Linked DNA regions of Mus musculus. The protein of the gene in region 1 interacts with the protein of each later gene in a pairwise test. Links are inferred from orthologs where the notes say so. Each region holds a gene or a part of one and is shown on either strand. Other genes may lie near its edges.

Evidence for each region. The genes of interacting proteins can lie anywhere in the genome.
Region 2: the proteins of Dmrtb1 (region 1) and Il16 interact in a two-hybrid assay, tested with the Homo sapiens proteins (2 studies listed by BioGRID). The two-hybrid records come from large-scale screens. The link is inferred for Mus musculus from reciprocal best matches to the Homo sapiens genes DMRTB1 and IL16.

The regions. Positions count from the first base shown.
Region 1 is NC_000070.6:107,681,431-107,685,486, forward strand, and holds the start of Dmrtb1 (doublesex- and mab-3-related transcription factor B1), read right to left. Parts: upstream 2,801-4,056; 5' UTR 2,733-2,800; coding exon 2,150-2,732; exon of another isoform or gene 2,036-2,149; intron 1-2,035.
Region 2 is NC_000073.6:83,652,399-83,655,898, reverse strand, and holds part of Il16 (pro-interleukin-16), read left to right. Parts: intron 1-403; exon of another isoform or gene 404-475; coding exon 476-620; intron 621-2,936; coding exon 2,937-3,500. UniProt on the Homo sapiens protein: Interleukin-16 stimulates a migratory response in CD4+ lymphocytes, monocytes, and eosinophils. Primes CD4+ T-cells for IL-2 and IL-15 responsiveness. Also induces T-lymphocyte expression of interleukin 2 receptor. Ligand for CD4.

The DNA.
Region 1 (4,056 bases):
CTAACAGTAACGGCCATGCAACACTAGCAGCAACACTCTAGCACACCGGTGAGATTCCCAGTCCCCCCCTTGGTTCAGCGCTGTGTTGGGCAGAGACAATGGGAGCCCTTGGCTTTGGCTGCAGTCAAGCTGTTCCCCGGGGTTGGTGCATCAGGAGGGGACAGGACAGGACGTCTAAGCCACCGTGTGGTGGTTCTCACCCACCACTGGACTCTGCTTCAGTTTCTGTTCCTGGCAGTGCTGGTGTGAACAGCACAGCCCAGGCACTTCCTCTGCAGTCACAGACACCATCTCTCCTCTTCATTTTTAACCCCACTGTCCCTGAACACTCAGCCATGCTGTTTTGCCCACATGCAGGGCCCACCTCTCCTACTTAGTAAACTCTCTGGAAACGCCTCCCAAGATGCATCCAGACAAATTCCTGCTTTCCTCATCCAGGTTTCTCACCAATCCATCTGACAATCGAGAGTAGCACCATCAGAGCCAGCAAGATGGCTAAAGGCACCTGCCACCAAGCCTGACAGCCACTGCTCCATCCCAGGGACCCATGAGGTAGAAGGAAAGAACCGGTTTCCCAAAGTTGCCCTCTGACCTCTCCTCCACACATGCTGGGATTAGCCACAAGTGGCCTCTTCTCCCCCCCTCTTTATAACACATTTTAAAGTTCCTGTTTGTTGAGAGATGAACACACATATGCCCTCATAGGACTGCTGGTTTATTTAAGTCTGCCTTCCTCATCAGACAGATAGTTCCTTGGGGAGAAAGATTTCTTACAAAATCTCAGAAACATTAAGAATGATTAGCATTGGAGCGGAGTGTGGTGGCGCATGCCTTTAATCCCAGCACTTGGGAGGCAGAGGCAGGTGGATTTCTGAGTTCGAGGTCAGCCTGGTCTACAAAGTGAGTTCCAGGACAGCCAGGGCTATACAGAGACCTGTCCAAAAAAAAAAAAAAAAAAAGAAAGAAAGAAAGAAAGAAAAAGAAAAAGAAAAAGAAAAAGAAAAGAAAGAAAAAAAAGAGAAAAGAATGGTTAGCATTAATTTCTGAAAGTCTGCTCTTCAAGGAAGGAACTTGTCCAAGGCTACACATGGGCATCCCCTCGACTCAGACTCTTTCTACATAGCCCTAAGGAAAGTAACCCCCTCTACCCCCCCCAAAAACCCAAGTCTTCATCCCAAAGAGCCGCATTCCAAGAGCCTCAAATTTTACATTACTTGAAAACATACTTCAGGGGCTAGAGAGGTGGCTCAGCGGTTAAGAGGTTAAGAGCACCGGCTGCTCTTCCAGAGGTCCCAGGCTCAATTCCTAGCACCCATGTGGCAGCTCACACCTGCCTGTAATTCTAGTTCCAGAGGATAAGACACCCTCACACAGACATGCATGCCGGCAAAACACCAATGCATTATAATAAATAAATTATAAGATATAAATATAATTTTAAAAAAACTCAAGAAATCTACTTCAACCAGGAAAGCAACCTACAGCATAAAGAAACAATGTAATTAATGCACAAAGCGAGGGGGAAAAAAAATCTTAGTGAACCAGCCCATCCCCCTGGCCAACTAGCAGAAAGTTTTATTCCCCACCACATCAGGTGAAATGGAACAAGTGAGTGTGAGTACAGGTGCGTTAGGCTAGACACTGCAGTTAGGATAAATTAGCCTCGGCTCAGTGAAAGGAGGGTGCGCAGGCGCAGTTTAAGGTGAACAGCCACTCAGAAAAAGACTCTCCAGCAGGAGAAAAATGGCAGGCGGGGAGGGGGAGGGGTTGCCACGCAGGCACAAGAGATCTAGACCTGGGAGGGGGGAAGGGATGCCGTGCAAACGCGCTAGAGGGGCCACGGAAAGGCGCCACTGCCAAAGCTGCCCAGCTGCCATCTTTTTTTTCCTCTTGCAAAAGTACAGAGGCAGAAAACTGCATCTCAACAAAGCCCCCCTGCACTGCACATTCTTCCCTACCAGCTTTTTCCCATTGCTATCATCAGAAGCCACCCACCCAAATCCTTGTCTGGGAACAGGTTCTCAAGCGGGGTTACCTGGGGAAGGCGCCTTTCCCACCCCGGCACCAGTCTGGGACTCCAGCTTAGAGCCGGAGGCTGCTGGCCTGGTACAGGCCGGAGGAACCGTCGGCTGCACGAGGCTGGGCTTACCGTAGTCGGCGAACGGCAGTCGGGGCACGGGCCGCACTGGCCCTGGCACTGGCACGGGCCGCACTGGCAGGTGCTGATCCGGGTAGCAAAGCTCCGGCCTGGGCGCCTGTGGCATGAGCTGGGGCAGCCACGCGGAGGAACGGTCGCGCAGTCCCCCGGGGGCCCCTGGTCCAGGCTGGAAGGTGCTGGGGCCCGGGCGGCCACTTGGGCCCAGCTGGAAGGTGCTCGGGCCTGGGCTCGGGGCCTGCGGGGGCCTCTCGAGGAAGCAAGTGGCCGTGGGGCCTGGCCCAACGCCTCCCGGAACCGCCCTAGGCAGTGGGCAAATGCTGGAGCTCAAGGCGGTGGCCGCCGCTGCTGGAGCCCTAGGAGGCAGCTGGGGACCCTGCGTGCCCACGGTCGCCACCTGCTCCTCGGCAGCTTGGGTTCTGAGAACCTTCTGGGCAGCCATGATCTTCTGGCGCTCGGTGATCAGGTAGCACTTGTCACAGATGCACTGCTTCCAGCGGCATTTGCCCGTATGGCCCTTGACTGGTACCAGATAGCCATGGTTCCGGCACCTAGAGCACTTGGGGGCGCGAAGCATCTTGTCGTCTAGCTGGGCAAGCTCTGCTTCCAAACGCAGCCACCACTTCCCGAAGCTGCAGAGCAAGTGAAGCAGGAATGAGCGGTGCCCCCATAAGTCCCTGGTGCTGGGGACATTGGATACACTTGTAACAAAACAGCTCGCTGAATGTCCGGAGAACTGCAATAGGACTCTTGCATTTTTTCCACTTTCTGTGTGTGTGTGTGTGCTAAATTTACCGTGTTTCTGTGTGTTGGGCAATGGTGTACGGTGTAAATTAAAAATGAAATACTTATTACATGTATGTCATACGAGTTATTTGAAGTTTTCGGCACTTGAATTTTCAAACTTCCTGTTCCCGCCAAATTGTAACTGGAAAATAGATTTTTTTTTTTTTTTTTTTTTTTGAAAAAAGGCGGACTTCTACTCAACGGTCGAGGGTTTTAAAACTCCCAATGAACAGAGCTGTTAGTAAACCCGTACTATTGGAAAGTTCCAGAGAACACTGTGTTTTTCCTCCCCGAAGCAGCTGCTTCTGCTTCATCTCGCTCCTCTGTAGAGAAAAAGAGCAGTTCTGCTTCCAGAATATTCTTCAGCGCTTAGTGCAGTGTTGGTTACTTACAGGCATTGCAGAAACCATGAGTTTTTGAGTCCTGTTTGTGTAAGCACTAGGGTCTGAAAAATGCATGCTTAATAATGTTCTAAAGTGCCGGGCGTTGGTGGCGCATGCCTTTAATCCCAGCACTTGGGAGGCAGTGGCAGGCGGATTTCTGAGTTCGAGGCCAGCCTGGTCTACAGAGTGAGTTCCAGGACAGCCAGGGCTACACAGAGAAACCCTGTCTCGAAAAACAAAAAACAAAAAGCAAAAACAAAAATAATGTTCTAAAGCAAAACATGATAGTTCGGAACTAATTTGAATTACTGGCTTTTGGGTTTGTTTGTGTGTGTGTGTGTTTGTGTGTGTGTGTGTGTTTCTTGTTTCATATGGTCTTTTAATTGTCTTTATGAAGCCAAACACAACTACTTAAAAAAAAATTCCCTAGCCACTGGAAATACATTGATGAAGCATGCATACTTCTCTCAGGAGAGGGGCCATATAAGTAAACATTTGCAAGAGCCTTCCTCAGACATCTGCTCACCCAGTATAGGGCACACAGCACGGTGTGTTCAGACCTAACTTAGGGGGGCTTGCCCCTCCAGGATGGCCTTTATTCCCAGAATCTACCAATATCACAAGGAGCCACAATTTGCTTGTTTTGTGACAAAGCATGTGTTCCAGTCGGTTCACTCTGAGAGAAGGGGAGCTCCCAGCTTTGGAGAGTAATTCCACCCAAAAGAAAAAAAA
Region 2 (3,500 bases), on another chromosome or scaffold:
AATGAAGAATGCTATTTAAAGAACTTAAAACCAGTGAGGTACGCAATGGATGTGCTTTTCTTCTGAGTGGGCTTAGGTCTTAACTTAGGCAACATTAGAAGACAGTTCCCTTGGCCCCTGTGTGTACCTCCTGGGGTCAGATAGTTTCCCCACATGCCATTTTAAGCAAAGTTGTGCTGGCACATTTGTTATCCCCAGCTCTTGTGCCCATCACAGACAGCCGGTAACTTTCCGTGTCTATGATGCATGGTGCACAACAGGTCATTGGAAGCCAAGGGAAACCTGGAACATCTAAGAGGGACTAGCTGTACAGCAACATCCCAGGAGGGAAGAGACCCCTTTCTCATGACTGCTGGGAATTTCCCGCTAAAGGTGTCTCAATACTCACTTTCAAGTCCTAATCAAAGAGTGCCTTGCCTTCTCACAGCTGTAGACTACCGTTTTGACACAGTCTGGCTTCCTGTTTACACCACAGGAAACCAGAGAGCTGCTGCCACTGTTGCTACAGGAAGACACTGCAGGGAGAGCCCCCTGCACCGCTGCCTGCTGCCCAGGACCTGCAGCCAGCACGCAGACTTCATCCTCCACAGAAGGAGAGTCAAGGAGGAGTGCCAGCCCAGGTGAGCCTCCGTAAGGATCTTCCAGAAAGAAAATCTTTCTGGAGAAAGTTCTATGGATCAAGTAGGTGCTAGAGTTTGGTCTGAGGTCAGTGTTTTGCATGGACACAGTGGACACAGCCTGTGACTGGGGTTGGTGGACAGTGAGGTGTCCTGGGTGCAGGGGCAAGAGGATAGTGGAAGTGTTCATTAGAGTGATAGATGTGCTTCCTGGTTGAAGCAGTGATTCTGGGGTGGTGGTGGTGGTGCTGGTGGTGGGAATGCAAGCAATTCCTGAGGGTCTACATGGACAGATGCCCAAAAGTTTCAATAGTCCAGCTACCTTGAGCAACTGCTTTAAATGGGTGTCAGTAAGACAACACACTTCATGCACTATGCTCAAATCTGAGAGTGCAGCATGGGAAAAGCCGGAGCAGTGGTCACCATGGCGAGGAGGTGGATAGCAAGGGTAGTTCCAAGTGGTACTTCAGTAAATACAACATGGTATCTTGGTTATTTAGCAGCTTACTAGAAAGAACAGAGGATCCCGGGTTCACCCATCGTTAATTGTGATTCTGGGCAATCAGCTTTGCCTTTGTCAGCTCATTCACTAGTGAGCAAATATTTAAGACCACATAGAATCCTAATATGTGATTTACTGCTGCTAGCACATGGTGAATGTTAGGTAGGTGAGGCTGTGCTTGCTGCCAGGGATGAAGGAGGAAGGAGTGCCACAGACCCGTTCCTGACCTAAGGAGCTCCCAGTGTCGCAAAAGAGTAAATAGGGAGGCTACTAACCATATTCCCCATGCATGGTAAGGCCTCTGGAGAGTTAAGGGCACTATGAATGAATGATCTAGACTTCTCACCCAGAGAGGTGCCCCACCAAGGGAGACTCCACCTGACCACCCTCCCTTCTCTTAGTCATCTGATTGAGGACACACCCTAGTTTGCAGAGGACTTGCCTGTGGAGCTTTGGACTCTTCCATTCTTACCACATAAGCCCCTTATAGCTGAACACTTTGTAAATGTAGAGACAGGCTGAGAGGACCAGATTTCCTTGCTGAAGTCCCATAGTCAGTAGTACCTACTCAGACCTCCATGATCATGCAAGGGTACTCTTTGGTAGCAGCAAAGTTCTACTTCCCTTGAGGCTAGGCACTGTGACAGGACATAGGAGGAAGCAGTATTCATCAAACAAGGGTGCATTCTCATATGAAAACCGTCTCTGAAACATGAAGTCCAAGCAGCCTAGTTGTATGTAGAGAAGGATGAGGCATGGTGAACACAGAGAACAGCCCAGTGACTTCCCTCTTGTCTGTTAGGGCTCATGTGCCAACCTCTCCTGCTCCTCAGGAAGGGAGTTGGGTGCTGAGTCTCCCCCACGCATGCAGGTAGATGTCAGTTTACTGTTATCTTATTCTGAGAGAGCTTCTGCCACGCTGCCCCTTAGATATGCCAGCCTGAGAACATCATGGTCATAAGTGGATGATGAAACTCCTTGTGGGCCTTACCAAATCCCTGTTGCCCAGGATACAGCTCAGATATATCAACTCACAACTGAGAAAGGGCTCCTCTAGTCCTATGTGTAGCCAAAGTTCAAAGTCAATGCTACAGCCTTTGTTGTTCTCCCTGGAACAGTTTCATCAACTTTTTTTGATTGAGAAAGACTTATTTTTCAAGCAGGCTGGTCAATTACCTGAGTATGGACAGAGTATCATACTCACAAGACCTTGTGACTTCAAAAACAGGCAAGTCCATAGCTATGAGCTGTGCCTATGAAACGAGGGGGCCCCAGTAAACTGTACACACCTTACCCAGTAGGCATGCCCATTCTTCTTGCTTTTGAATTGCATAGATAGTCCAAATCAAATATGGTGACCAACTTGAGACTCGTGGAGTGAGTTTAAAAGGCAAAAGAATTGCTTTCACTTTGCTTTTTTTTTTTTTTTTTTTTTTTTGGTACGTTATCTGTGTGACTTACTTTAGACAGTGGGGAGGACATTAGAATGAACAGTCAGAAGACATGTGCTCTTGCCTGACTCCGACAACTGTGGCCCCTCATCCATCTTGACTGCTAGAGTCCTCTCTTATCAAATGATAAGAGCAGATATTTCCCAGGAACACATCTAGTTCTAGATGTTTAGATGGCCCATGTCACTCTCCTCTGTTTCTCCAGTTTTGCTTGTTGGTACCCCAGTTAGGTGTCATCCCTTGGAGCCAGCACCCACTCTGTTCACTATTTCTGCTCCTGAGCTCTTCAGCACTGTAACTTGAATTTAGGAGAAAAAATCCCAACAGAGTATAATGCTCAGGTTTGGCTTTGTTTCTGCCCACCAGAGACTCCAGCATCCCCAGGAAAACACCCGCTGCTGAAGAGGCAGGCACGGATGGACTATAGCTTTGATATCACTGCTGAAGACCCTTGGGTTAGAATTTCCGACTGCATCAAAAACTTATTTAGCCCCATCATGAGTGAGAACCATAGCCATACACCACTACAGCCCAACACCAGCCTTGGTGAAGAGGATGGGACACAGGGCTGTCCAGAGGGGGGCCTGTCAAAAATGGACGCTGCCAATGGTGCTCCCAGAGTTTACAAGTCAGCAGATGGCAGCACTGTGAAGAAGGGGCCTCCAGTAGCCCCAAAGCCAGCTTGGTTTCGGCAGAGCTTGAAAGGTCTGAGGAATCGTGCCCCAGACCCCAGAAGACCCCCGGAAGTAGCCTCAGCCATTCAGCCTACACCAGTTTCTAGGGACCCACCAGGGCCACAGCCTCAGGCCTCTTCCTCCATCAGGCAGAGAATCAGCTCCTTTGAAAACTTTGGCTCCTCACAATTGCCAGACAGAGGAGTCCAGAGACTGAGCCTGCAGCCCAGCTCTGGGGAGACCACCAAATTTCCAG